3 linked regions of the Mytilus edulis genome follow. The protein of the gene in region 2 purifies or fractionates together with the protein of the main gene of each other region. This does not show direct contact. Links are inferred from orthologs where the notes say so. Each region holds a gene or a part of one and is shown on either strand. Other genes may lie near its edges.

What was found.
Region 1: the proteins of tetratricopeptide repeat protein 4-like (region 2) and erythroid differentiation-related factor 1-like purify together in Homo sapiens (affinity purification with mass spectrometry; 3 studies listed by BioGRID and IntAct, counting the BioPlex papers as one, with this or other methods). This does not show direct contact. The link is inferred for Mytilus edulis from reciprocal best matches to the Homo sapiens genes TTC4 and EDRF1.
Region 3: the proteins of tetratricopeptide repeat protein 4-like (region 2) and protein HGH1 homolog purify together in Homo sapiens (co-immunoprecipitation; 4 studies listed by BioGRID and IntAct, counting the BioPlex papers as one, with this or other methods). This does not show direct contact. The link is inferred for Mytilus edulis from reciprocal best matches to the Homo sapiens genes TTC4 and HGH1.

Annotation. Positions count from the first base shown.
Region 1 is NC_092347.1:49,864,626-49,875,441, forward strand, and holds the start of erythroid differentiation-related factor 1-like, read right to left. Parts: upstream 5,436-10,816; 5' UTR 5,323-5,435; coding exon 5,299-5,322; intron 2,171-5,298; coding exon 1,944-2,170; intron 1-1,943. UniProt on the Homo sapiens protein: Transcription factor involved in erythroid differentiation. Involved in transcriptional activation of the globin gene.
Region 2 is NC_092344.1:7,120,501-7,131,470, forward strand, and holds the start of tetratricopeptide repeat protein 4-like, read left to right. Parts: upstream 1-6,332; 5' UTR 6,333-6,347; coding exon 6,348-6,350; intron 6,351-8,442; coding exon 8,443-8,598; intron 8,599-8,792; coding exon 8,793-8,901; intron 8,902-9,507; coding exon 9,508-9,669; intron 9,670-10,437; coding exon 10,438-10,515; intron 10,516-10,970. Other genes in the region: digestive cysteine proteinase 1-like, read left to right, coding at 250-439, 2,561-2,748.
Region 3 is NC_092349.1:53,185,006-53,195,865, forward strand, and holds the start of protein HGH1 homolog, read left to right. Parts: upstream 1-5,873; 5' UTR 5,874-5,886; intron 5,887-10,860.

The sequences.
Region 1 (10,816 bases), on a different chromosome or scaffold from region 2:
GGTACGAGATAACTACAATTCTCATGCAATCCCGAAAAGGGGGGTCATCACAGACAAACATGACATTAAATCGTTATCACTGAACTAGTATATATATTGTATAGGGGCCAGCTGAAGGACGCCTCCGGGTGCGGGAATTTTTCGCTGCATTGAAGACCTGTTGGTGACCTTAATTCTGCTGTTGTATGTTTTTCTATGGTCGGGTTGTTGTCTCTTTGACAAATTCCCCATTTCCATTCTCAATTTTATTATACGAAGAAGAACAAACAGCTCTACGTTGCTTTGATATTTATCAATTTTCAGGAAACATTGCGAAACATGATCTTCAATATTTCGAAAACATGTGAAATAAAATTGCTAACACGGTGGACCGTCGAGTGTCAACAAACGTAGTAGACTTGTTCACTGAAAAGACGAGGATAATGGTTTCATCTGACATTTGTTATGCAAACCCAGTTTTGATCATGATATTTAAAAAGACGTACTTTTTTTCAATCTATGTATTAATAAACTAGAAAATTCCAAATTGTAAATATCTCTTCATCTGGACTGACTTGGCATCTACTACGTTTGGACGGGTCCATTTCATTAGTAAGGTGGTCGATAAATATTACGGAGTTTTGACAGAAAAGGAAAACAAACTTATTGTTATGTGTTTTCAACAAGGGTTTCGTTCCGCTAAATTATTTGCGCAAATAAAGTTTGTCTATTTTTAGATTACAGGTAATAATTTGACACTACGCATTAACCTGTGTAGTGATTTTGATTTTACGATAAATGTATGAATGAACGATAATTTTATGAATGAACAAGAGCACCTGACCTCTTAAAGAAACACAAATTAAACATAAAAACCGTATTTATTAGGAGATAATTCAGTTAAATTTTCAATACTAAATCAACAACTGAAATGAATCCATATTTTGTTGAAACATCGTACAAACGGCGGAAAACGGAATCGCATTTATAAAAATGTACTTTTTTTCACTCGGACTTCTATGTTATTTGATAGTCAAACGGTTGACCCTTTAAATACAAAAATACATCTACAAGAACATATTCTGAAACTTCTTAAATCCACTAACTTTTTTTTAAAGTTTCAAGCTATGTATTGCATTAGAAAACATACATAGGTGTTAAAGAATGACTGACAAGGAGCCTGTTTAACAAAATACTATGGCTTGATCTGGGCGGAGTCTCTGATCTGGGTCACAAAGATGGCCATACGCGACGGCATAAAAGCAATTGCTTTAAAAATTGGTGAAATAGTTATTAAAAGGGCAATATATATAACTTCTGTAAGAAGTATATTGACAATTGACACTGAGGCTAAATAGAAGATCTTAGTCTTGAAGATTATTTTGGCTGCTTAAAGTTCTTTTTTTTTTTTTTTTTATCTATTATAGTTTTCTAGAAAACATTAGACAAAAACACAAAATATTGGTAAAGCACAATTCCCATAAGGAGTCAACTGACAAATTCTGTCATTTACATTTATATGTACAAATGTATATCATAATTTTCTTGTGGTACATGAAAATTTAAAACAAAAAATATGTTTAAGTTAGTAGGCGAAAAAATAAATTGAAAGGGATGAAAATCTTGTTTTTTTGGTGAAAGAGGTGTAAAAAAAAACTTGACTTATTGCAAATACTCTTAGTTCCATGAAACCTCTTTCACCAAAAAAATAAGATTTTCATCCCTTTCAATTTATATTGTTCATTTAGCTGATAGATTAAAAACAATCCTTGGGAATGATGATCATGATAAATTGCTTGCCCTTTTTAAAAATCGGAGAAGACCCTATAAAAAGGACAAGCAATTAATCATGATCATCATTCCCAAGGATTTTTTTTAATCTAACAGCTAAATGAAAATTAACAGTATCATTAATATTACTGCATCAGGGGTTAATACCAACAAAATAGCACACTAAATATTACCTTGAAAATTGAGAGTGTTCCTTTTTGTCCCATGTAAAATCAAATATATTTTTCTCCATTCTTGAAGAGTTTCTCAGCCAATTTGATGGTGGTACATTAAGATTTGTAGAAGGTTGCAAAATTGAAAAGGCTGTTGACACAGGCACTGTTGAATGCTTGACTACTACCATGCTTTTAACTTCCTGGTTATCATCCTTGTTTCTTTTTACCAACTCTTTTCCTTTTGTCTAGAAATAACAATAGACTAGTTTATATAGAACACATACATGACATATAAGCCTTTATCATTTTCAAAACAAAAGACTGATATCACAAATCTGTTGAAAATGTACATGATATACTTTTATTACTTCATCCAACTCAATTGTTAAATAATCATTCCAAAGAGTTTTTAGTTGATACTGTTAAAAATATGTAAGGAATTTTAATTATCCTATCGTTGCCACATCTATCCTGATTCCCTGACAATGTCTATCCATATCGAATCCTTTACGCGCAATTCAGCGGTACGCGGCTCCTTTGTGAACAGATAACGGATCCTTGCCGTAAACATAAGGTGAGTTAACCTAAACGTTCCTTTAAAATTGTGTTTTATTCTGTCTAAACACTCTGGTCAACAAAAAACAAATAGCAGGCGAAATAAGCCAACTATCAAGGTAAGTATATAGATGTATTTTATTTCGTTAGCTAGTATGATTACGAAATAATCACTGAAACAAGGGAGTGCAATTGTATGAAATTGCGAAGTGATGTTGACATTTTCCAGACTTTCAAGCATTTCTTCCCTGTTTTTGCTGATAAAAGTACTGAATTGTATTAGAAATTGACGTTCTTTTATTGGGTAAAACAATCTACCGAAATTCTAATGTTCAGTCTTCTGAAATTAGTTCAAAATGTTATAAAATTTGTGGCAACGGATCTTTATGATCCGTTTCCAACACGGTCTTTTAATTCTATCTGGAGCTTATTGTATACTCTTTTATACTCAATAAAATGAAATGAGCAATTAAAAAATGATGAACTGTTTATTCAAATCCATATTGACAGAAATAACATGCATAAAACGCTGTTTTTTGGAAAAAACAAAGGTTATGTGAGACACTTGCCCACTTTTTCTTGTAAAAATAGCCTGTTATTCTTAAAACTATCTATAGTCATAAGAAGAGTGGATCAGTTTGACATTCTAAAGTTCCGTGAACTAAGAATTTAACACAAAATACCTCTCTGATTTGTTGTCATCCATAACTTTCTAACAACATCACGTTGTTTTTACGGCAAGGATCCGTTATCTGTTCACAAAGGAGCCATGTACCGCTGAATTGCGTGTAAAGGATCCGATATGGATAGACACCCTGACCCTTGTTTTCCCCCTTTTTTGCCCCTAATTGCTGAATGATTTGAGCCATAACCCCCCATATCCATCCCTTTGTAGTATGGAAACTTGTGGTATAATTTCAGGGAGATTTATACACTTAAACATAAGTTATTGACTGAAAACTACAAAAATGCTTATTTCGGCCTCTTTTTTGACCCCTCACTTATTGAAAGTTTCAGAAACCCGCCTCCCACCTTGGAGCAAGAACCCCAAAACTCAATTCCAGCCTTTCCTTTGTAGTAAGAAACCTTGTAGCATAATTAAAGAGAGATCCATTCTGGCATTCAGTTAAACCCAATTTTTTGCCTGTAATCTAGAAAAATGCATCTTTTTGGCCCCTCATTCCTAAATGTTCAGGGATATTAACCCCAAACTAAATTAAAGCCTTCCCTTCGTTATATGGAACCTTGTGGTACAAAGTCAGAGATATCCATACAGTTATACATAAGTTATTGTCCTGAAACTACAAAAATGCTTGTTTTTGACCCCTTTCTGGCACTTAATTCCTAGACTGTTTGCCCACACAACCCTTAAAATAAATCTCAACCTTCTACTTTATAGTATGACCATTGTGGTACAATATCAGAGCAATTAAAATACTTATACACAACTTATTGTCCTGAAACTAGATAAATACTTGTCTTGGGCACCTTTGGGCCCCTAATTTCCAAACCGTTGGGACCATAACCCCCAAAATCAATCCTAACCTTACTATTGTGGTAACAAACATTGTGTAAAATTTTTATTGGTTTTTATTAACTTATACTAAAGTTATTATCCGGAAACCATTCATCTTAGGATGACGCTGATGAAGAAGACGACGGCGTGATACCAATATACGACCAAATTTTTTTTAATTTTTGCGGTCGTATAAAAACATATATTCAATTTTTAATGTAATCAAAGTTTAATTTTGGACCCTTTGGACCTCATTAAAAACTGGCCCAATTATCAAAAACATGTTTAGATTCAAGCATATCAAAGAATCTCAAGAATTCAGACATTTTTACTTTTATTTTCAAAGATTATCACGTGACCACGAGAAAACAGTGACGATTTATGCAAATGACCAATATCTAACACCTCGTTCATTCACGATGCAAGTTATCAAAATGTTCGAGAGCTTCCGATTGTTATTGTGGTTGGCACTAAATGCTTAATATCGATCTCCTGTCCTATGAAGGAGGTGAAAAAGTATAAACATGATAAATATTTGCATATTTGAGTCTCGAGTTCATGAAGTCTCTCGTAACTTGACGTCCTTTTGAAAATAAAAGTAAAAATGTCTGAATCGATGGGTCACTGTGAAAACTGTCTAATTACATATGTATGAGAAATTAAAGGGCGACAGGTACATTAATGAGGGGGGATAGGAGGGGTCTTGATCCCGAAATCCCGGACTTGAAAAAACGAAATCCCGAGGTCCCGAATTTAAATAAAGCAAATCCCGACATCCCGAAATCCGAAAAAAAGGATTCCCGGATCCCGAAAGGGTCAATCCCGAAATCCCGATCTTAAAAACACCCGATCCCGGAGTCCCGATAAAGGTCCTATCCCCCCTCATTAATGAAGAGATAAATGAAAAATGAAAGAATTGATACCCGATCTATATAATGCCAAGGCCAACAGTTGGCACCAGAAGGGAGGAAGCAGCACATCTATTTTGGACAGGCAAATATCCACTTTTTAATATGGGACCAGCTCTGACGTCCCACGGCCCCAGCTTGTCTTGAAACACAGCCGTTAGACGTCAGAGTAATCTCGGACTTCCCACAGAAGTTTTCACAGTAGAGCTTCTCTCAAAGAGACAGAATCTCTACTGTGATAGTCGAGTTTGGTATATTTTTACCCCATTATTGATAGGATTTCAAACTCCTGTGGACTACCTATGGATAGAAACAAATATAAAATTTGCCTGTGCTACACTTGGGGGAACTTTAAGAGTGCAGAACTCAGCAGATCTCGTTCCCGTAGTCTTACCTTAATTTTCTCTGTGTTTTGCATTTTAGTCAGAAATTATTTAGGCTTATAGTTTCAAGATTTCGGACTAAGTCTGGAAATTTCCCGATTTCTTTAACTAAAGGGAGGTTATCATCTTCTCTATCATTAAAGTGTTTGAATTGATGGTGTATATTGGAACTTTTAAACGTTTTAAAGATAATGAAAATTAAGGTATAACTCGTTTGTAATGTATAAAAATACTCCTGTTTGCTAATGAACCTGCAGCCGGGGCGTGTTTTTTTTATCTTCGGTAGTGAACCAGAAGAGGTCCTTTTCTGTTTTTTTTTTGCATTGGGAAGATCTTCTGGCTCTCTTCCACCTCTTCTTTTTTAATAGGTGGTTTATACGACAGAGTCACAAAACTAATGACATTAATTAGTTTATGAAAGTAGATATAAGTTAGAATGTGAGCTGTGTAATACTGAAAAGTTTTTATGGTACGACAGCCTTAGTAGGACATCTCTGAATTGATTTATTGGTGTTAAACGCTAATTTCAACACTCATAATTTGGCTAGTGCTCAGTTTAAATCAATAGATGAGGAATGAGGAAGGAAAGAGTTCATTATTAAAATTGAGAAAGGAAATGGGGAATGTGTCAAAGCGATAACAACCCGACCATCAATAGAGCAGACAACAGCCGAAGGCCACCAATGGGTCTTAATTATTGTTCATTTTAATTTGTCGCTAATCAAGCCTATTTTCAGCCCTTACCAGGCAACCATATTCATATACGAAATCCTCATTTTCCCTAACCCCATCAAATTAATACTGATTTATCTGATGTTTTTCTCTTATTTAACACAAGTTTAAATTGATTCTAATTTTTAACGCCCAGTGATAAATATTTCATGCATACCTGAAGAAAACACGAGAAATATAATTATATAAAAACAAAGATATGTGATATGATTGCTTATTAGACAACTTTCGACCGGAGTTCAAATGATGAAGTGGACAAAAATGGTGGATGTAAGCAGTTATAGGCAACGGCCTTCAACAATGACAGAACCCGATACCATATGTAAAGCCGTTTATAAAAGGCCATGAAAAGTGTGAAACAATTTAAATGAAAAACTATACATAACAATTGTTTTTACACAATATCAAATATGAGTTCAAACAATCGGCCAGTCAAAGAAGAAAACTAACAACCTAACCAACGGTACAAAATAATGAACGAAAGACAAGTAAGTAACACAGCAACAAACGACAAGTACTGACTTACAGGCTCCTGACTTGGGACAGGCACATACATATAGTAATGTGGCGGAGTTAAACATGTCAGCCGCGGATCCCAACCATCCCTTAACATTGGACAGTGGTGTAACAGTTCAACAAAATGTTTGTGAGCGCTCAATTCTCCCCGAAGCTGAAACCGTATAGTGTAGCAAACAAAAATGGCTAGCAAACCTACAGGAATCACCAAAAGCATTAAATTATCGTTTATTTAAAGATACTTTGGAGTTTGAGAAATATTTAAATATTTTGAATGACAGGCATATATCCTAATTTCGAACTTTGAACATGAAATTTCCAATACAAACTATTATAAATTGTTATTTGGATGGAGAGTTGTCTGATTGGCACTCACAAAACATCTTCCTATATCTATTTAAAAGATGGCAAAACATAGAAAGGGAAAACAGAAAATGTGTATTGTGTAATTCAGAGGCCATTGGTGATGAATACCATTATATTTTTTAATTATTCAGCTTTTGATAACTGTAGAAAACAATGTATTGCATTTTGCTATAGAAATGGACCAAACACATTGAAGTTTTATGACTTAATGAATTCAAAAAAATGTACAGAACTGAACGAACTATGTAAACTTATTAAGGAGATCAATAACAAATTGAACTTTTCTGGGTGAACAATTGTAAATGCCTCTATCTACTTTCGTACATTATTTATTTATGTAATTGTATTGAAATATGTATAATTATCTCTATACCTTTGTAATTTGGTTTGTGAGAATAAAGATATATAGTACAATATAAAAATAACCTGCACAAATCAGTTGCTATTAAATTAACTCAAAAGATCGGTACGAGACACACACACAAAACCAGCCAACTAGAATAATGCCAAGAAATCCTCGCTAAAAATTCCGGTCGACCCCCAACGGCAGTCATTAGTAGCTAAAGATTTGATTTCATTCAAGAAATTAATGTATGACCTTCAAGTACGTGTCGCTTAGAACACGGCCATATACCAAATGGTCAAAATTAATCATCCATGTAATTTGCTCTATGGGGTGTTTGCAGAATTTCAACGGAGGCAATTTCTTGGCAAGACCAATAAAACACGCCCCTGACTTTGTTTATTGCAAAAGCATTTTAAAGGGACAATAGCTGTAAAATTCATGTTCACCGATTTGACTAAAATTCTCATATTAGATTAGATTTAATATGAGGAAGGCGCTACCTTAAATGCTTAACAAGACTGTAGTTTTTGTCTTGGATAAAATGATTAATTACGAGATGTTTAGGGAACGACCATCGAACATCAAACTGAGGCGGGAGGGGGGATATGTTATTTCTCTTTAAAAAATGTTCTTATTCCCAAATTGAAACAAAAAATATTCTTCAAGCAGAGGACAAACAAAAATTTAATCCAACAGATTTTCCCTAGCCATACATTCATGTAAAATGCTTAAATTTTGATTTTTTTTATATTGGAAACGTTGACATGGTTGAATCGCTTCGCGTGAAAAAAAATATTACTTAAACAAAAACAAAAAAATACCTCCCCTCCCTTTTTTTGAAGATAAATGGTTGCTCCCTTATGGTCCATACTGTTTTCTTCTGAAAATGAATTTACACATTTCTTATCTTGTTCAGGTGTATCAATTGAAAGCAAGTTAAAAGCGCAAAGTTAAAAATCCAGTTCGGGATGAAAATTTCAGGAACTCTTTTTTTTACTCTCCCTTGACACCATTTGAAAGTATGTTAAGAGGAAACGATGATAGTCCGTCGGAAGGGGACGATAAATGGCTGACCCGTGTTAAGAGAGAGCCATATCTCTTGCACCGTTAAAGACACCCTTGTAGAGTTCGAAAAAGAGCAGGCTAATGCCGCTACAAGGCAGCACTCGCACCCGCAAAGTGGAAAGGGATAAATTTACAAAACTTGTTTCCCAATCCACTATAAATGAGGGGGGATAGGAGGGGTCCTGATCCCGAAATCCCGAGTTTAAAAACATGAAATCCCAAAATCCCGAATTTGAATAAAGTAAATCCCGACGTCCCGAAATCCTAAAAAAAGAATTCCCGGATCCCGAAAGGGTCAATCCCGAAATCCCGAGCTTAAAAACACCCGATCCCGGAGTCCCGATAAAGGTCCTATCCCCCCTCATAAATAAATATGTTTAAACTCAACTAAAACAAAAAGCGCAAATGCCCGAAGTGTTTCAATGGCAAATACCCATAGTTTTTGAAGTGCAAATGTCCTTTTATGTCTAATCCTATTGTCAATGTTTTTGGACAATAAAATATGTTTAAACTAATGTTACAGGTTAAAAAGCGCAACCTTCATACGCCTTGTCTTTCACGATAAAGAAAATGCGTTGCCCATGGATCTTTCACGATCAATTTTGATGAAAAACCAACAAACTTCAATGTTTTCAAAAACAAAATGAACGGTTTCAAGGGGGAAAATCTCACATTTTCCTGTACTATCTGACACACCAAATATATCATTATATCTTGGAATATGATCATTATATATGCAAAACGTTGATCATTATATATGCAAAACGTGTTTTTTTTTAATCCTCTTTATCCTATTGCACACTAGTATTATCTAAAAAGTTGAATACTTTTGACAGACGTAATTATTTTTTCCAAATTTGTTCCGCGTTTTAAAAAAAACAGTAGATTTTTCACAGATTTTGAAGTAAAACTACAATTAATTAGATTCACGATCCGAAACCAGGCCTTGCGGTCATAAAACTTTAGAGCACGATTTTTGTACTCAGACTCAAGAATCAACCAATCAAAACGGTGCTTTGCTTTTGGCATTTCAATTGCGCCAAAAGAAATCTTTCATTTGCGTCACAAACCATATTTCATTTGCGCCCAGGGGCGTAGCTGCCGTTAGGCACTTTAGGCACGTGCCTACACATAATTTTTTCACAAATATTTTTTTTTTTTATTAAAAAAAATAATAAACAACGTTATCTGTAGATGAAGTTGTCAAAACTCTTTAATTATCGAATGTCATGTGTACACTAGTCTCTCGTCCTTAGTGAATGGAATATTGGCTAGAATTGAATGTTTTTACGATTTTACCTTATATAGAAACTATAAACTAGAACTTTGGTTTAGATCATTTCACTTCTAGACTATCAACAAAAACTTGAATAAACCTCAACTTAGACACATGAGTTTTTTAATTAGCTGTTGTTAGTTTTCAACTAGCTTTCCACTTTGTCTTCACCCGAATAGCCAATGTTGGTCGTCCGTTTGGCTGTGCAGGATGTATAAATACGCAGTCACGTCTGGTCAGAATGGGGACATTAAATCCGATGCCTAGTTGTAGACACGGGGGGGGGGGGGGTCTCTTCCTATATAAAGGTATATACATATGTGCCGCTGGAATGGGTCCCTTTTTTGATCCGTCAAATATATCAATGGGGTGCAATTTTACGGAGGAAATATATCAATAGGTAGTAATTGACCGATTGTGATATATCAATGGGTCATAAATTTCAGTTTGTTGTGCAACGATCTTCACTGAATTTCCCAAACTCTTTGTCATTAAAATTTCCACATCTGCTGAAACTTATTTACACAAGTTTTGATATTGATTAAATTTAATTACACTGTCACAATTAATAATCTTCAGTAAATTACCCAGTAGATATCGAAAGTTCAATGTTTCATATAAATTAAAGTGTATTGTATAATTGAAAAGTGTTTTTGATGTATAATAAGATTGTATATGCATATAGGTACTATTTGAGCTGATAAATATATGAATGGGTTATGATTTCGCTGTGAAATATATGTATAGGTAGGGATTTCACAATTATTCAATATATGAATGGGGGGTGTTTTTAAAATCCCAGCTGCACACCTGTACCCAAAATCCCATGTTGAGACCCCCCCCCCCCCCCCCCCCCCCGTGGTTGTAGAGAGAATGCAACTCTTTGAGGAGTTCATACTTGGTCTACTGAAAGGCAAAATTTCTGCTCCTATCCAATAATCCCTCATTTTCCAATGCATGGCATTTTAAAATTTCCAGACCTTCGTCCTGGACGACACCTAGTTTAAACATATTTTATTTGCTGAATTAAAGCAAAATGGATTAGACACAAGTAAATCATACTTATGAAGTCTTTTCCATAATACAATATAAAGTTACAATAATAGTATAATATAATGGACATGCATATAAAACAAACAGTTTATACAATATAATACTAGCTTTCATAGGTGAACAAAGAGGAGACAAAGAAGTAAAAAAGGAAAAAGAAAGTTTGAAAAATCGTATA
Region 2 (10,970 bases):
ATGGGTTTTTGAGACAAAACAAGCTTTAATTTGCAGATGGAGTTACACTATACACTATTTGGCTATATCTCATAGTACCTGACATCTTGTTTTTATATAAGAGCATGGATATCAGCAAAAATGTTGGCAATCTTCACTTTTATGTCTGTTTCTAATGTTGTTTTTGCAAATGTCCTTTATATGCTGTATTTATCTATTGTAACATACTTTTATGAAACATACTAATAACTATAATATTAAATCTTTCAGGATGGTCAATGTAGAAAAGACAAAGTGACACCAATTGCTAAACTGAAGAACTATGTGAACATAACACAGTATGACCAACAAGCATTGACATTTGCTATTGCCCATATGGGACCAGTTTCTGTGGGTATTGATGCATCATATTTGTCACTGTCATTCTATGCTAATGGTGTATATTATGAACCAAAGTGTGGTAAGTGTGCTTCTATGCTAATGGTGTATACTATGAACCAAAGTGTGGTAAGTGTCATTCTATGCTAATGGTGTATACTATGAACCAAAGTGTGGTAAGTGTGCTTCTATGCTAATGGTGTATACTATGAACCAAAGTGTGGTAAGTGTCATTCTATGCTAATGGTGTATACTATGAACCAAAGTGTGGTAAGTGTGCTTCTATGCTAATGGTGTATACTATGAACCAAAGTGTGGTAAGTGTGCTTCTATGCTAATGGTGTATACTATGAACCAAAGTGTGGTAAGTGTGCTTCTATGCTAATGGTGTATACTATGAACCAAAGTGTGGTAAGTGTGCTTCTATGCTAATGGTGTATACTATGAACCAAAGTGTGGTAAGTGTGCTTCTATGCTAATGGTGTATACTATGAACCAAAGTGTGGTAAGTGTCATTCTATGCTAATGGTGTATACTATGAACCAAAGTGTGGTAAGTGTCATTCTATGCTAATGGTGTATACTATGAACCAAAGTGTGGTAATTGTCATTCTATGCTAATGGTGTATACTATGAACCAAAGTGTGGTAAGTGTCATTCTATGCTAATGGTGTATACTATGAACCAAAGTGTGGTAAGTGTGCTTCTATGCTAATGGTGTATACTATGAACCAAAGTGTGGTAAGTGTCATTCTATGCTAATGGTGTATATTATGAACCAAAGTGTGGTAAGTGTCATTCTATGCTAATGGTGTATACTATGAACCAAAGTGTGGTAACTGTCATTCTATGCTAATGGTGTATACTATGAACCAAAGTGTGGTAAGTGTCATTCTATGCTAATGGTGTATACTATGAACCAAAGTGTGGTAAGTGTCATTCTATGCTAATGGTGTATATTATGAACCAAAGTGTGGTAAGTGTGCTTCTATGCTAATGGTGTATACTATGAACCAAAGTGTGGTAAGTGTCATTCTATGCTAATGGTGTATACTATGAACCAAAGTGTGGTAAGTGTGCTTCTATGCTAATGGTGTATACTATGAACCAAAGTGTGGTAAGTGTGCTTCTATGCTAATGGTGTATACTATGAACCAAAGTGTGGTAAGTGTCATTCTATGCTAATGGTGTATACTATGAACCAAAGTGTGGTAAGTGTCATTCTATGCTAATGGTGTATACTATGAACCAAAGTGTGGTAAGTGTCATTCTATGCTAATGGTGTATACTATGAACCAAGTGTGGTAAGTGTCATTCTATGCTAATGGTGTATACTATGAACCAAAGTGTGGTAAGTGTGCTTCTATGCTAATGGTGTATACTATGAACCAAAGTGTGGTAAGTGTCATTCTATGCTAATGGTGTATACTATGAACCAAAGTGTGGTAAGTGTCATTCTATGCTAATGGTGTATACTATGAACCAAAGTGTGGTAAGTGTCATTCTATGCTAATGGTGTATACTATGAACCAAAGTTTATAGGTCTAATGGCCATGTTACTTAGGTTCTGAATTCAATATTCTTAGATTCATATATTGTCTGTCCTACCTTTGTTAACTGTTAATTTCTGTGGGTTTTTATTTACCAGAAAGCTCTTTATTTCTGTGCAAACATTCTATTTAGAAAAGGATATAAAGTTATTTAATACTTCCTTGATTTTATGTGGAACTCACAATAAAATATTTACTATGGTCCAAAATTTGCTACACATATCACTTGAAAGGTCCTGTTTATAGATAATTTAGATAATATATTTCTGGTATTTGCCACATACAATGTGTGCATTATAAGTTACCTTAAAAAAAAGTCTATTATTGATGTGCCTTTTTTATCTATTATCAATTAAAAATTATTGTATGTGCTATAACAAATTGTATCAATACAAGTAATAAAACAGGAAGCAAAGTGGCATGGTTTATAAGGCATTTCAAAATTTAACATCCTTGGTTTATAAGGTATTTTAGAATTTGATAAAAAATATTTGTTTATACAGCTGAACTCTAAATCAATGCAGATTTAAATGCATAGGTTACTTGGTTTTAAAGAGTAGAAATTATAAAAATAAATAAAAAGATTATCTATATCAAAAAGTAATAATTGTTAGAAATGAGAGTAACAGTAGGTTTAACTTTTTATATTTTTAGGAAATAAACCAGATGATTTGGATCATGCCGTTTTAGCTGTGGGATATGGGACAATGAATGGTCAAGCTTACTGGTTAATTAAAAATTCTTGGTCAACATACTGGGGAATGGATGGATATGTACTTATGTCTCAAAAAGACAATAATTGTGGAGTGGCCACTGATGCTACATATGTTGTCATTGAATAAACATTCATTTGAATAAAATGTATTAAATTTTACCAGAAACACAGATCAGATGAGCGCTTCTTCAAATCAAAGTTAACTGTGATAGATATTACTCTTATAGTACTGAATTGTACATGAAAATAGATTTTTTTTGTATAGTTGTTGGACATTAGATTATGACATAATCATAATCTTCAATTAACATGACTAATTTCCTTTTTTGTTTTTTGTTTGTTTGTTTGTATTAAATTTTTTTCGTTTTGAATATAGAAATAGGTGTATACAGCTAAACATGATACGCTAAAGTGTAAAAAAAGATGAGCAGTAAATAAATTTCTTTGGTCTTTTGGTGCAATATAAAACAAAAAGTTTTGTACAGGTGGATTTGTTACTTTTTCATTTTTTTTCAATAAAAATGAATATATCTTGCCATATGTTGTGTTGTATTTTTATTACAAGGTTGTTTTTTTTTGTGTAATGCAATTTTAGGTAGTATAGGGGTTATTATCTGACCTCCAAGACAGTTATTTTGAATACTTTGCCAAACTGTCTTTGATATCATTCAATTTTTAAAAACATAAAAATTATATTATACATCACCAAACTTATGTTTAAAACCAATCTGATGAGTTTAGTCCTTTTCATCTGATGTTTACAGTTTGTTCTTGTGTTGCACCTTTACATCACTGTCCCAGGTTAGTGGAAGGGGGTGCATTGGTGGAGAGTTGTCCCATTCACAATCAGACTACATCTTAATTTTGTATTGTTTCTAAATGTATACACTAGATTCTTTTCCTTTAAAATTACCATAAAAGGCAGATAATAATCTATTCCTAACTCTATAGGTTGTCATGTTGCTACTCTGCATAAGAAAAGGTTTGCATGCTTGTTTTACACTTTTCATTAGACTGTGTGTTAACAAGAGTGCATATACTGAAATGTCTTGCCTGCTTCACTTTTCATGTTTGAATTCATGTTGAAAGTCTGTATACATGAACATTTTTATAACAGTACCACATACCCTTAACATTATAAATGATCAATATAATTTAGGTTAATGTCATTAAAACCCTGCCAGAGAGTCTTGAACACCATACTGTCACACCAAAAACCAAATAAAGTTAGCCAATTGCAGTTAGTATCTGAGAAACATAATTAATTACAAAATTTGAACATTAACCTATGAACCATAAAAATGACGTGAAGGTCAGATGAACCCTGCTAGCCAACATTTAATACACCAAATAGTATTGCCATATTGCTTACAAAAGTATTTTAGAAACAAACAAAAATAACCTCAAAAACTGAGCATTGCCGAATGAACTATGTAAATGAGGTCATGGCCAGATGAACAGACAGACATGTACAACTAGAATAATTATGTACACCAATTTTAGTGGCCTTATGGCTGATAGTATCTGAGAAATAGATCAAACCATAAAAACTATATATTATTTAATGAACCATTCAACTTATGAACCTTTTCAGACAGACATGAAAACCTCATGATTATTCATTACACCATATGTACTTAACCTATTGCTTTTAATATCTGATAAATGGACAAAACCATGAAAACTTAAATTGACCAATGTACCATAATAATAAGGTCAAGTCGAATATATCACAACAGACATGTACACCATACAATCATTTCATAAAACAGAGTAGCCTTACTGCTATTGTATCTGACAAATAGACCGAATACGGAAAAAAATTAACTTTGACCAAACATGAAATGTACAATCCATAAACATGAGGTGAAAGTCAAATTAGTAACCTGTAAATAGTATTATCGCTATTTTGTGCATTTTTCCTATGATCTTTTTTTGTGATAATTTTCATATCATTCTACTCGCTTGAGATGGAAAATTATCGCTAGAAACTAAGCAGGCACGTGACGTTGCTAACGAAATTGACATGAAATTGACAAACGTCGTCATAGGTAAAATAGCGATAAACAGATTATCATTGATCATCTCAACTCGATTGCCTTTCTCGCTTTCGCCGTCCCGACTCAAGCGAGAAAATCAATCTCGTTGAGATGATCAACGATAATCTATAATTATCGCTAATTTGTGCATTTTTCCTTTGATCTTTTTTTGTGATAATTTTTTCATATCATGCTACTCGCTTGAGATGGAAAATTATCGCTAGAAACTAAGCAGGCACGTGGCTTTGCTAACGAAATTGACAACGTCATCATGGGTAAAATAGCACGTCCCGGCTCAAGCAATAAAATCAATCTCTTTGAGATGATCAAAGATAATCTATAAAGATACCAAGAAGACTGATCCGTAAGAAAAATTCAAAAATCCTTTATGAAATGGCAAAATCAAAATCTCAAACACATTCACTAGTAGTTTTATATTTAGCTCCAAACATATTTTGGTTATTTTATATGATATACCTAAATACAGAGAGCTCCTTCCCGATACTGAATTATACCAAGGATTTTAATATATGGGTCCTATATATATACACTGTATGATAAAGAACTAAAAGTGGCCATAGATCGAATAAAATGCTTATTTCTCAATAAACTTAAAATCTGAGTGACCAAAACTTGGAGAAATTTAGAAAACAACAAAATTTGGTAACTTAGTTTAAGAAAAAAATCAATAAAAGTATATCTTTAGAACATTGCTCTGCTGGGTCAAAATCATGCAAGTTTTGAAACAGTTGAACCATTTTTTTCACAATAAAGGGACAATTTGTCTTTTTCGAATCTAAAGGACGATATGGTAATCTCATTGTTCGTATACTAAAATGTAAATAACTTTACGTCTTTGGTTTAATTTCCATTGTTTTGTACAATTTAAATCAATCACAACATTTTGGTGTATGCTTTTGAAAGTATTACCCAGAATGCATTAGATTCTGAAATGGTGACTTGTGGAAGATAAGGATGGAAGGGATTTTTTTTTTACTAATATTGTTAAATCGCATTGAAAAGTCTTTGAACACCTTAAATAGATAAAACTAAGTTAATATACTGACAGTAAGCTAAAATATCAAATATAAAATATAAAATAAAATATAAAAACCAAAAATAAAAAAGGGGGGTTTACTCCACAAACACCTGTGTTTTATTTATAATGTTCCACTTTTATTTCCCAATATATATACAAGAGTTATCTTTTTGAATGGATGATACTACAAATAAAAAAATACATTTTCAATATATTAAGCTATAAAACGGCAAGATTTTTTAGAAAAGCTAATACTTGTATTATCACAGTGGCAGAATAATCAGACAGTTGATTGCGGCCGCTTAACTGGAAGAAGAAGATCACTAAATACGGAATATGCATATCCGTTACGTTACGCTGCCGGTATTTAGTATTCGTTTCTTGCTTCCTGTAAAAAAAATCACGTTTTTATATTATTGTTTTCATCTCTTCTGTAAGTTTCACTCCAAAACACAGAAAATGGAGCCTAGATAAAACATGTAAAGTACATGAAGCGATTTTTGATTTCTTTCAGTAGTTTAAAAGTAGTAGGGACATCATAAAGACCAAAATCGTTTTACCAAATGGTTTCCAAACTCATCACTGACACTAGTGACAGCAGTCGAAACGCAGGCACTTGTCTGTGAGGCGAAAACAGACTTAAATGTCATGGTGAACACACAAAAAAATTAAAATAAAAAAGTACACAAAAAAAACAACATAGAACTAAAGACTGAGCAACACAAACTCCTCCAAAAATCTAGTCCGAGATAATACACCTTATCGCTAATACCGGCTGACCCGGCCGCTTGAACTTTTGACGTCAACAACAGTCACTTTTCCATTGTGGTGTCAAATATTTTGCTTTATGACATCAAAATTTTACGGGAACCTGTGTGATATCCAGTAATGGCGGACAAATAGCGATAAGGTGCATACTCTGACGTCCAACGGCAATGGCTGTTTTGCCAGACAAGCTGGGGCCGTGGGACGTCAGAGCTCGTCCCATATCAAAGAGTGGATATTTGCCCACCCAAAATAGATGCGCTGCTTCCTCGCTTCTTGTGCCGACTGACGGCCTTGGAATTATATAAATCGGGCATCAATCTGTTCATTTTTCATTTATCTTTTCATTTATGTAAGTTTCACCTACCTGCCAACCTTTATTTTTCCATATTTTAACAGTTTTCACAGAGACCCATTGATGTTTGCATTTTGACTTTCACTTTCAAATGGAAGTCAAGTTACGAGAGAGTTTGTGGCCTCGAGACTCAAATATGCAAATATTTATATTTTTTCATCTCCTTTGTAGGAGATCGATGTTTAACATTTAGTAGCCAACCTCGATTTTTCACCTCCTTTACAGGAGATCGGTATTCAGCATTTAGTTTCGACCACGAGAACAATCGGAAGCTCTCAGACACTTATATAACTTGCATCGTAAATGAACGAGGTGTTACATTATGGTCATTAGCATAAATCATCACTGTTTTCTCGTGGTCACGTGATAATCTTTGAAAATGAAAGGCAAAATGCAGAAATCGATGGGTCTCTGTGGAAACTGTTCAAATATGGAAAAATAAAGGTTGGCAGGTAGGTGAAACTTGCATAAATGAAAAGATAAATGTCAAAAAGAAACAGATTGATGCCCGATTTATATAATTCCAAGGCCGTCAGCCGGCACCAGAAGTGACGAAGCAGCCCATCTATTTTGGGTGGGCAAATATCCACTTTTTGATATGGGACGAGCTCTGACGTCCCACGGCCCCAGCTTGTCTGGCAAAACAGCTGTTAGACGTCAGAGTAATCTCGGACTACCAAAAATCAACAGTGATTCCAAGTGCTCTGGAAAGGGTAGGAAAATCCTGCATCACTTGATGTGGCACCCGTACATGAAGTCCAAATAATTAGGACGTCTAGCAAGGCTATATTAATTATTTGGACTACTGTTTGTGTATTGTGGCCGAACAAACCCATTAAAAGTTGATTTCATTAGGTCACATTCAAGGTAAATAAAATTGAGAATGGAAATGGGGAATGTGCCAAAGAGACAACAACCCGACCATAGAAAAAACCCCAAAAAAAACAACAAGACATGGACATGATGAATTTGAAAAATTGGAACATATTGGTCGTCCTGTTCATCTGTGAAACAAACAATTCATAAAAAAGATAAAGGTCAACTAACTCTTTAAATTAAAATTGTCCATAAAATTTTCAAAGGGATGATTTGACTTCAAGACTTGGAACTCAATAGCTTCCTTGTATGCTGCATCCATCTATCAAGGATATTATGATAGGAAGTGTAAGATCTGGAAAAATTGTATTAACTTTGAGATTTATACATTTTGTACTTCATACACATGATGCATAGGCTCTGCTCAGCCTGCTGGATAGTTGCTACATAGAAATAGAAAGTTCACTACTGGGAAACTGAAATAATCTCTTTTTTTGTAAACTATTTTTTTTAATTTATTCATATAAATGATTAGGTAGAACTATTGACTCTAATTGCCTATAAAGTATCTGTAGAAACTTTGCAAACATGTACTGAGTGTTGTCTTTTTTAAATTTCATTAAACATATATGTTTTAAGAAAATTAATAACTTTTTCATATTCTTGTAAGAATAATTTAAAGATTGCATACACACTGCTGACAGGGTGCAAAAAAATGAGTGAATACTTAGTCAAACATTTTTTTAAAAGCATCACACCAATTCATCTTACATGTCTTAAGGATGAACATATCTTTTTTTTTTACAGAAAATGCCAAAAAAGAAAGTATGGACAGATGAAGAAAGAGCAGAATTAGCAAAGAAATTAGATTCTGAATTAGAAGAATATGTGGCAGATTGTATAGCCAAACAAAAGGAGAAAAATGAGAAAGAAGGAGAAAAAGAGAGTGACTTAAATATAGAAGTATGTGAGTCAACGCATTGTATTGTATTTTTTGCGCAGAGATTCTGCTTAATACAACCAATATGATATTTAATAGAATCAATAATACATTTTAAATATGACATATAAAAAAAAAGAATTAAAAAAAAAAATTAATGAAGATTTTGACCATATGTAAGTCGCTAAAAAAAGTTTATCTGTAATGTTTGTTTTAGGACATAGCAAATCATCCAGCTTTCATGACAGAAGTAGATTGGAGTAAACCATTAACACCAGAGTTAGAAGCTTTGATGAAACTCAAGTACGAAGATGAAAATCCAACAGGTTTGATATTGATATTTATCATCTTTTAAAAATATCTAATTTATTTGATTTCAACCTTTTAAATGCTAAATGAAAAAATATGAAAAATTCTTCTGTTGTCAAATAAGATAAAGCATTCCATGAATCATCAAACAAGAATACTTCATAAGTATTTCATGATTCTGATAATCATTGTTTACAATAAAAGGAGATTTTGAGAATAGCTTTTTATAAGTGATAATGAATGGATTGTATTTTGGTGCATCTATTCATTGCTTGAGCTTTGGTGGAGGAATGGACAACACATTTAGGTTGGACACAAATTTTATCTACTTGGTTCATAATAAAAATAAATAAAAAAAATTGATTAAATAGGTCAAAATAAAAAAGATGTGGTATGATTGCCAATGAGACAACTGTCCACAAAAGACCAAAACGACACAGACATTAACAACTATAGGTCACCGTACGGCCTACAACAATGAGCTAGCCCATACTGCAGAGTCAGTTATAATTTTAATGCATGAACAAACAGATTACAGAAAAGCAGAATAAAATCAATCTTTTTAGCTGGAGAAGCTGTTCATATTATGTCTTGTATAATGTTTATAAGTGTTATAATTTAAGCCGGAGCAGAAGCATATAAAATGGATGGTAACCATGAGTTTAAAAAGAAGAAATATGATATAGCTATAGACAATTATACAGAAGGAATTAAATTGAGATGTCCTGATAAACTTCTGAATTCTGTATTGTATACAAATCGAGCAGCTGCACAATTTCATAGAGGTATGGACAAATTTTTAATTACAGTTTTAAACTTATTATCTGCAAACTCATTTATCTCCAAATTCCTGTCTTCTCAAAGAAATTTGTCATACTGATAAACTTGAATGTATAGTCATCGGAATGGAATATGTCAATGTGAGATTGCTTTGGTTCAGAGATAGGTTAGCATTTAATTTTAATGTATGTATTTATTTGACAACAGTATTTGGATTTAGATATCAGATGCAAAAAATTACACCCTATATACATTCCCTCAATTATATAAACTGTTATGGGTATCAAGTCTCCTGTTTCATTTCCAATGGTCATATTTTACTTTCACATTAATCTGAAAAATGAAAATGAAGAAAAAATAAGCATTAAAACCTAAAAACCAACTGCTTCAAAAATAAACATTAAACTCTAAAAACCAACTGCTACGTAAATGATATTTTAACATTAGTGAATTGAAGTTATCTCCCTTTGCCCAGTTTGGTTAATTACATTATAAGATGCTGGCCATACCTGTAGAAAACTAATCAAATGAGTTACATCAAGTAAACAATGAAAGGAAATGTTTATAAAATAAATAGATTTTTGGTAGTACTAAATACTGAAAGTTCTCTTTTTGCATAACTAAAATCGACAACTGACGTAAGCAAGTATAAAATAATCACACATTTTTACCTTATTTTTTGTAGGCTATGGATATTATTTCAAAATATTACTTGAATAACAAATGGTTTGGTTTTATTACAACTAATAATTCCTTTTTTTCTAATTTTTCAGGAAATTACGGAACTTCCTTACATGACTGTATATTTGCCAGAAAATTCAAGTCAGATCATATGAAAGCTATTTTAAGGGGTATTCTTTTGTATTATTATTGTCTTAGGTTATGTTGGATTGAATATAGAAATGAAGAGTTGTAATATTATTGCCAATGAGGTAACTATCGTTAGACCACAAATTATAGGTCACTATACGTCATTCAACAAGGAGTAAAACCAAAATAGTATAGTACCCTCAAAAAGGCGCTGGTATGACAAAACTTGAAACAATTCAACAGAGAAAACCAATGGACATAAATTTAAAAAAAAAATAACAGCAAACAAAAATCCCTGAATGGAGGTGTACATCTCATTGGCAACCATACCACATCTTCTTTTTTTATATTTACAGTTCTCACACCTTGTGACTATTTCACAGAAAACAGAGAATGGGACATTTATGATACAACTATGCAATCATGTTAACTTTATCTTTAAATAAAATCTCATTAGTAACTCATATACAAAAATAATGAATAACTGAAGAACTGT
Region 3 (10,860 bases), on a different chromosome or scaffold from region 2:
ACATTTTAAACAAAACACCCACGCTTTCTTCAATTAGTCAATTGTTCAAATTAATTTAAAGTTGATTTAGAAAAATATATTGAAGGCGATTTCAGAGGTTTTTCTATACTACTAGGCTGTTCTTGTAAATGAACATGGTTTAATAAATTGAGAATGTGTTTTTGGGCCGCAAATACCCGGCCTGTAACAATATGCACCAGAGGCAGTCAACTTCCAAATACAGATGCAGGATTAATTTCATTAAGGCTCTTATGTAATTATAAGCATTGTGTATAAATTTCATAACATTTAGTTGAATCAAACAAGAGGAAGAGAATTAAAGCAACAGATTAAGTAATTCCTTCATTTTATAAAAGAAAATAAGTCATGAATGGTAAAAGTGACGCCACCCAATTTTGAACATGATCTGTTTTTTTGTGGTAATAGGCATTGTATACCTATTCGTTTTATAACATTTGTTTGCGGCAAATTAAAGTAAGAAAACGGAAACTCAGCAATTTTTTATTTAACTTGTGCTATGGATAAAGACTGCATCTTTTTCTATGACACATTGTTGTGTAACTGTTTCATTGTAATTGGTTTCAATAGCCAAATGGTCTTAAGTAAATAACTTCTCTATCACTATCCTGTCAACACAAAGGTTGTGAATTTCAAAGCCTTTCAGTTTGACTATAATCTTAATTGACTGTCAATTTTACTAGCTTGGATCTTGGTTCTCTTCAAGCATTATTTTCTAACTCAACCAATAAAAACCAACTACTACGAAATAGTACATAATGCTGAAAGTGGCATTAAACACCAATTAACCATTGACATAAATCACACATGTGACAGAATAATTAAAAATTTCACACCTTTAAATGTTGTGTTTTTTGCACTCGGGGACTTGCTTTTAATATAGTAAATATTTGATACATGTATTGACAAAAATATTTATGTAAAGCATATAGTATTACTTAATCAAATAGCATCACCATATTTTCTTAATTCTTGTGCGTTTTGTACAGCAGCTGGTATTAAACCTAAACAGAAATTATAATAATTTTTTTTCAAGATTAGATTGATAGCATATGTAATAAAAAAATTAAAATCTAAAAGCCAACTTTTTCTTGTTATAACATATTAAAACTTGGCCTTAGTTTTCACTTGCTAAGAGCTATATATATTTGTTGGGTTGCTTTTCATGTCTAATAACCATACGACCATTAATTACTGGCTTATTGACAAATCATTAGTGTATCATTATACATTAAATGAAGTATTTTTTTCTGTAGCAGTATCTTTGTTTATTTGGCCTGTTTTTGAATTTAGTTGTTTTTCTGGTCTCTTTTCAAAAGTGCACATGTTTTTTAAAATATATTCTTTCATCTTAGAAATTCATCTAATTTCTATAAGGATAAACAAATACTTGTTTATTTTATCAAAAAGGAGGACACTTCATGAAAACGAATTTATTAAACAAATACAGCTGTGTTAAATCTGAGTCTGATGATGTTTTCTTGAAGAAAAAAAAAATGCCTTCAAAATATTTTTTTATATATTTCTTTTGTTGGTAGTTCTTTCTGCATTATCAGTGGCGCATCCAAAGGGGGGGGGGGGGGGGGGGTCCAGGGTTTGGAACCCCCCTTTGTTTGACGATCAATGCATTTGAATGGGAGCATATAGTTGGAATCCCCCCCTTTACTCTGGGTTGGGAACCCCCCTTTTTAAAATGGCTGGATCCGCCCCTGATTATATAGTAAAAAAATGAAGGTGGCATATTTAACTGTAGTATGTTGTAGTATGAAGTCCAACATTTACTGTCTCAACTCTTTGGTGATTCTCGTAAAAATAACACGCATCCCCGATAAAGACTCGTAAAGTAAAAGTTAAATAAGAAATATACTATAGTTTCTCGGGATATAAATAGACAGACCCTAAATAAGACAGTCTGACAAACAACTCGACCGTCTCCGTTTCAATCAGATATAACATAGACTCATAGAGTATGCTGTTTTAGTTTGGCGTAGATATTTCTTTATTACTTTTAACAATTCAAAGTAATACATATCCAACATACACGGCTTCTTTGGTGCCGGGCTGCCATACTTTTTGCGATGATTGTTTACATTTTTTGGCTAACACAAATGCCTTTAATTTTCACGGAATTACACAAATCGTTAAATGAGGAAACGTTACAAAGCACAACGGGCTTTATCGTGTTTCTGTCCCCTACCCTCTCATAACGGTACAGTTTATTTTACTGTTTGCGATAGATGTCGCTTCCGTACGAATAAAATATAATGAATAAAAGAAAGATTTTATGATGTATTTTCACTTACCTATTGCATCTGATGACTGATGACATCGTTTCACACCAGGACTGTCACAAATATCCTTTTTTTCTCCAAATTAAAAACCATCACCATAATAAACCATGAAATCATTATATACACTATTTACACACTGGTAAGACTCCTGAAAGAAAATATATATTGATATACTTAATATCGGCCTATTTATTACATTGCCGCATAATGCAGCATGTTTACAACATAAACTGTACGTCTGAACGAGGCTTACCATTCCTTTATAGTAATTTGAACATCAGTTTATTCATTGTTAAGGTTCATTCCGTGGACAACTTAACGGAATAAAGCGTAAATAGAAAATTGAAATTTAGCCTAACCTATTATGAGGTTTATTCCGTTAACATTGGCTATACAGGATAAAGTGTATAAAGGTAAATGAACTTACCTAATGTCTTAGACTTCGATGAACATAATGACGGACAGTTCCATCAATATATTCATAGCGACCCATTGTCACATTATAGCCATATAACTTATAACTTTTTTTTTCAAACAGTTTGAATAAGGCTTCTATGTGCCTTATGCCACTTCCATCCCTGCATAAGCCCATCAAATTGGCCCATTCTATCAGAAGCACTGGATTTAACCCATTGATATAACAAAATGCACAAAGAATAATTCTGTTCCAGTGCTTCACGTCTTTAGTCCAAAATATTTTTCTAATATTCTTTGGCCATAACTTTGCATCACCAATAACATCCTGAATTACCATCCAGGCATCACGTATTTCTTTGTTCCTGGACATGTTAGCAACTGAAGTTTAAAGAACAATATGATACATTCTAATGATTTTGATATCTACTCACCTATTGAAAGTCATCATCCGTGGACATATCATAAACAAAGGCTTGTTTACAATAGGGATTTTTTCCTTTTCCCTTTCCCTTTCTGGATGTACCTTGGACTTTGGAGGCTTTCTTTAATGGTTTGAAGCTCTTTGGGTGGAAAAGATGCTGTTCATCGTCAGTTTCCTCATCAAGAACAATAATGTCTGTTTGTTCTGTTGCTATAGGTGGGGTTGGGGGTAACTTGCGTCTCTTGTTTTTTCCTATGTTGGAAGGGCCTGGTTGGGCTTCATCTACAGCTTGCGGTATATGTCTCCTACGCCTCTTGGTGACATGAGGTGGTGTTTCTGATGGCAAACTCCTCGACATTTCGGCTTCTTGTATCTGGGGTGAATCCACCTGTTCTTCGTCTGATTCAATATCACTCCCTTGGATGATGGTGATGTTGTGTTCTTTCTCATCGTCTTTGGTGGGAGGGGTCCAGGTTTTAAAGAGTGGTCTTGAGTACGTAAACTGGGGTGGACCTTGAAGATGGTAAATACTCTGTAACAGATCAAAGAAGGCAGAGTACATATTCTGCCTGTGTGCATGGTTGCGCCACACGATTTCTGCTAAATGTTGCTCGAAAAGATTTGTATTGGAACCATTAATACGGCGAAAATGGTCCTTGGCCAACTTCCATGCCCCTTCTATCCTATTGGTACAGCAATGCACAATCTCACCAGTCTCATTGTTCACATACTTCTGCTTGAATGTGGTTTTGTGAACCACAGTAAAATGTTCATAACCAATTTGATTAAGAGTCTGGTATGATGCCCACGAGTCGGAATAGATACGGGATCCTGGCTTCACATGTTTCTGTATCAGAGGAATCAGAGTATTGGCAGATCTGTTATCGACAGGGTACATCACCAGTTTATTGGTAGATCTTTCTATTAAGCCGAAGATCCAAATTCTAGTACCCGATGGCTTCCCCCGGTTGTATTTCACCTTTCTTCCAAATAGACTCTCGTCTATTTCCACCTCACCTTCCAGGACAGTACTGCTGTACTCACGGTACACATGCTCACAAAACATTTCACGAATGTAACTGGCCCAATTCACGGCAGTGTTCTTATAATCCATGTTAGCAGTTTTTGCACTCATTGACAAACTATGTCCTTCTAAATAGTATTTCACGAAAACTAGGAGATCTCGGACATTGAAGGATGATCGTTCAAAGAAAGAATACTTCCTAATACCAAACTCGTGACCATTTTTACATCGAAATGTAAATCCATCTGGTTTGTTGCTTCTTTTGTTAATTCGGCATATTTGGGAACAAACTGAACATTCAAGATCGTCAACCAATAGCCCCCTCCTACGTAACCATTCGAATACAACGGGATTTGATGAGCGAAATAAATTGGTAAAACTCCAAATATTGCCAAAATCTTGAAAGCCAATATCAACAGCATCATACTTCTGAATATCATAACTACCTTCGCCGTGTTTTTTCCTACGCCGCGTGTCTTGTGCCATTTTGATCAATGAATACGTACCTTAAATATTTCGCATTTTATACTTTCATGACTTAAAAGTATTCACTTTCTTATATAATATAACTCTCTATTGTATACTGTCATGACTTAAAAGTATTAACTTTCTTAAATAGTATAACATTTAAAAAAATACACTATACCTTCCTTCAAATCGATAATATACCTGTCCAATATCTTGATTAAAATTCTATCTAAAGGTATCTACGGAATAAACCTCAGCGAATAAATAAACTGATTTCCAGTTCACCTATAATTTTTCATTGTAACCATCACAATACCAACATGTATTAGTCAATTCAATAATTTATTTACCTTTCAAACAAGGTATAGTTTAAACTATCCCGTTTTATTTTTAAACATTTATTTTTTGTTTTTCCCCCCAAAAATATCTATACCCCTTTTTATATATAGTCTCCCCAAAAGAAAACCCTTTAAGATCGTTAATTATTGAAGAATTATAATATATTTATTAGTTATCATTTTTAAAATATAAAATAGTACTGTATACTGATCTTGAATCTGTCCCGTATCTAAAATAGTAGTATAATTATACTGATCTTGAATCTGTCCCGTATTTTTAAAAAGATATAGATACATTATTGTATAATTTAAGTATTTCTTCTCTATTTCAGAAAGAAAAGAAGTATATACTGATCTTGAATCTGTCCCGTATTTTTCAATATTACTATCTACCATTGTATAATTCTTTTATAATTCATTAATAAAAGTAGTATATACTGATCTTGAATCTGTCCCGTATTTTTAAAAAGATATAGATACATCATTGTATAATTTAAGTATTTCTTCTCTATTTCAGAAAGAAAACTAGTATATACTAATAAATAGTAGTATATTCTAATAAATAGAATAAAATAAAAGTAGTATATATACTGATCTTGAATCTGTCCCGTATTTTTCAATTATTATATATACTATCGAATACTTGTATGTGACTTCGTCTTCTATTTTCTTATATATTTTTTCGACGAAATGAAGTGATTTTTAATTATTGTGTCTAATAATGCTCATAATACGGGATAGAATCAAGATTATACTAATACAGTCGTATTTAATATAATTTTCAATTTAAAATCTTTCCTTTATTCCTTTTTTCACCAACCAATCACAAGTGATGTTAAATCAAGGTAAAATTTCTTCAATCCCGTAAGGGAGAGAAACACGATATAGCCGCACATATATTTGAATCAAGTTAGTTTCTTGATAAGTGACTGTTATTTATTGTTGATAGTTTAATATATTTGCACAGTATGAATTCCCAACCCATTTAAAGCCATACAAAACCACTGGAGTTTGAAATCCTAGCAATAACTGTGTAAAAATATGTCAAACTCGACTATCACAGTCAGTAGAGCTTCTCTCGAAGTGCCTCTTCTCTTTGAGAGGAGCTCTAATGTGATAGTCGAGTTTTTGGCATATTACACCGTTATTGCTATGATTTCAAACTATGGTGACAAAACCACCCTAACCCTTACATTAGTCCGAGATTACTCTGACGTCCAATGGCTGTTTTGCCAGACAAGCTGTGGCCGTGGGACGTCAGAGCTCGTCCCATATCAAAAAGTGGATATTTGCCCACCCAAAATAGATGCGCTGCTTCGTCGCTTCTGGTGCCGATTGAGGGCCTTGGAATTATATAAATCGGGCATCTATTTGATCATTTTTCATTTATCTCTTCATTTATGTAAGTTTAACCTACCTGCCAACCTTTATTTTTCCATATTTTAACAGTTTTCACAGAGACCCATCGATTTCTGCATTTTGACTTTCATTTTCAAAGATTATCACGTGACCACGAGAAAACAGTGCAAATGACCATAATGTAACACCTCGTTCATTTACGATGCAAGTTATCTAAATGTCCGAGAGCTTCCAATTGTTATCGTGGTTGGAACTAAATGCTTAATACCGATCTCCTGTGAAGGAGATGAAAAATCGTGGTTGGCTTCTAAAAGTTAAACATCGATCTCCTATATATAAAGGAGGTGAAAAAATATAAATATTTTCATATTTGAGTCTCGAGGCCACGAACTCTCTCGTAACTTGACGTCCATTTGAAAGTGAAAGTCAAAATGCAGAAATCGATAGGTCTCTGTGAAAACGTTAAAATATGGAAAAATAAAGGTTGGCAGGTAGATGAAAATTAAATAAATGAAGAGATAAATGAAAAATGAACAGATTGATGCCCCATTTATATAACTCCAATGCCCTCAGTCGGCCCCAGAAGCGACGAAGCAGCGCATCTATTTTGGGTGGGCAAATATCCACTTTTTGATATGGGACAAGCTCTGACGTCCCACGGCCCCAGCTTGTCTGGCAAAACATTTCAAAACAGCCGTTGGATGTCAGAGTAATCTTGGACTACCCTTACATGTACCTTGCTGCAGAACCTTAGCTCTTAGATCCTTATGACAAGTTATGTTATTTTTTTGACTATTTGTACGCAAATAGGAAAAAAAATAACATAAGGACATAAGAGCTACAGTTCTGCACCTAACACCTACCCACTGTGGCTAGCCAAGGGTTTCGATAACCATGATATAAACCATAATTTACATTTCACTCCCCTTTCCGAGATTGTATAACCCTTGGCTAACTAAGATAACACGTGCACTAGTCATAAGGTTTCCAGTTATTTGAAAAACCCCTAGACCTACACTGGCAACAGTTGAAAAAAGGGGGGGTCTAAACACAGAAACAAAAATTGCAAAATTGTTGCACAGAAATATAATAAAAATGGGGAAAAACAAAAAAAATGACTATTAGACATGAAGACCCTGCCGTCATCTTTAAGTGTCTCATTGTATATATGATTTGAAAAAAAGAGTATTTAGGTATTTTATGCACAGGGCTCACGCTACCAGGCGACTTGGGCGAAGAAGTCGCCTTCCCGAACGTCACTTCGCTTTCCCCGACCCCCAAAAGCGAAAACAAGTCGCCCTGTTCTTGACGATACTCGCTTTCAGTCGCTTCCGTCATCGGACATTTTCAATTTTTACCAAGTTGATGAAACATCAATTTTTTATTGATAATTAAAGAAATTCAGACATAAACGATTCATTGTCTTTAGAAAAGAGGTTGAAGCATTGTCTTCGCAATGTGAAGCAGGTTATTTGATAAAAATACAACTTTTTATCACTTCGTGCATTTCCGCAAGTTCTTACTCGAAAACGTACACCAACCTAAATTTCGGCGGCAAAATAAGTTTGTTACTTCATTTAAACGTGATAAAAGTTGCCTCCAGTAAATGTTTAATCCATTTATTGCATTAAAAACGTTATGTTCCTTTCCAAATAACTTGTCAAACATCGTTTATTTTTGTAAATTTTCTTGCATTCGTCCGCCATTGACCGATTTCTAAACTACGGATCTAAACCGGACCAGCTATGACCGAAATCCGTACTTTTACAATAATTACTACGGACGCACGGATGGAACAGCTGACAGAAGAATATTGATCCCAAAAGGGAAAATTACGCATTCCACACGCATTAAGAGACTTTTGGTTACATCTAATTGATTGGTGTATATAATTCCCTATATTTTTTATGGATTGTTTCAAACTATTGATTAAAATTGCTTAACTCTGAGACTATTATACTAATATCAATATATTATGGCCAAGCTTAATAACTTTTATATTTTTTTATGAGAAACACTGAATTTCATACACAAAATAATTTTTAATTAAATTGTAATTGATATATTATAATTTCTTTACATTTTTAAAATTTTTTTTAGTGCTAGATATTTAGTTGGTAGTTTCTCACAAGAACCTTAGTAAAATTTAAACAACTTTTAATTTAAAATGTTAATTTAATTGTAATTTTTTTACTCAGATATGAATTGAACAATACAAAAAGAACATTATTTACATATGGCCCTTTCAGGGATGGGCATGATTACAGACAAATGTAATCAATTAATAATCGATTACATGAAGGATTTTTGTGCAATCGATTAATAATCGATTACTCAAATTTTAGTATGTAATCGATTACAATCGATTACTTTATCAAAAGTAATTACATTACTTTTCGATTACTGTCAATTACATACTTCAACATTTCAACAAAAAATAACATGAGTAAAACATAATTATATTGCTCAACATTTGTATATATAGTGGAAATTAAGATCTTTACCTAATGCATCATTCAAAGCATTGTTTCTAAATTATTAGTTAATAGCTGCTTTTTAGATCAAATCTCTTGATGAAAATTAGAAATATTTAAAAAATCTCGTAATTTTGACTTTCAACATATATGAAAGATGTCATCGCATTGCAATAATCACTTATTCATAACTAATTGTTTTTCAAAAAATTAGCTTTCTTACTGACACGTTAGCTTTTTTGTTTTTACTCTTTAAAAAAAATATTTTAGCATAGTTTATTACAATGTTTAAGGAAATATAAAAAAAAGTAGAATAATTAATTAGTTCAGCTAATTTTTAAGATCAAAATTTATTTTTATAATGACATGCATGTTTTAATACTTTTGTTTGGATAACCACCCTAATTACAGATTATTTAACTGCCACTGGAGTACAATTTATAACCTGGGGCTAAATATTGTAAATTTCCTTCTTTATTAGACATAAGATAATTGAAATAAAAACAAAGTATGTTTGTTATTGATTAGAAGACTTTGATCATCTCATTAGTAAAGGCAAGAATGTTGTTAACTTCTCCAATCAAATTATATACAAAATATATTTATAGTGTCAAAGGGATATATGTATCTATTTCTAAAAAGAATTGCTATGCATTGCCATTGGTTCATTGTTAAAAGGATTTTGTGTTCGTTTTTAATTTAATTTATATACATGTATATATATCATAACATTTAAGAAATCAACTGTTAATGTATTCTAAGCTTTAATTTCAACTCTGATTGAAAATGATGTTTTCAGGAAATTTAATACAAATAAGCTTACTACTTTTAAAAAATGTAGTACAGAACTTAACGAAAGACAGACACATTTCTTATTTAAGATCTATTTTATTTTTTCAATCTATTTTCTTATTTAAATATTAAAGCTCTTGAATTTTTGACAAGCACATACATCCATTTGTTTCAAAAGCTAGATATAAAGTAAATTTAGGTAGGGGAGGGATCTGGTTACTCATAATGCAGCTAGAGACAATAGATAGAAATAAGGCAGTTGCTTAAATCTCAAGTATTGTTAATGCATAATATTTTATCTGTACTACAAAGTGATAACATACATATTTTCCTCTGAAATAGGTTATTTTTCATCAAACTATTTTACTAAAGTAATAGAAATGTAATCGAAAAGTAATCGATGATTACATCCAAATTTTTGCTGTAATCGATTAAATTACGATTACATGTAATCGAAAATGTCTTCGATTACAGATTACTGTCGATTACTTGAAAAAATGTAATCAATTACAATCGATTACCATTACAGATTATGATTACCCCATCCCTGGGCCCTTTATACTATTGTAAAATCCAAACATTGTAGCGCACCGCGCGAATGAGCACTTCTCTTTCAAATCTCACCACTTCTCCCTATCAGTTTCAAAAAGAGAAGTCACTTCTCCCTATAATTCTGAAGTAGTGTGAGCCCTGATGCAGGCTATTAAAGAAGAGAGAAATTTATATCATGGGAACCAGTTCATTAATACAAAATCTAATTTTGGGAGGGAATAGTCCTGTATACTTTTTCAATCAAATGTTGGACAATCATAATAAATAAATAAGAATACCAACAAGAAACATGTCGGAAAATAACATTGCACGTAACAAAAATAACCCTTCAGCAACCTCGTTTACAGCTTTGATGGACAGTGGAATCAGTGTACATGTACACTTCATAAAAGCAATAATGGAGATGTCACAATAATGTATATGTTACCCACCATCTAGGTCGATCATTCATTATCACAAACATGACAAATAACCAACTCATCAGCACTGCAAAAAAGTAGGGACTTGGGAAGTCTGTTATTACGGCAGAGGAAGTCTAATTCCTTTAAGAGATCCACAGAACTCCTTGGTACAAAAAAAAAATTTATATAACACTAAACAGATTCATGTACAAAATGTAGATGTATTATTTTTCATCATGCTTTACACCATGTACACTGTAAATAAAATTGAGAATGGAAATGGGGAATGTGTCAAAGAGACGACA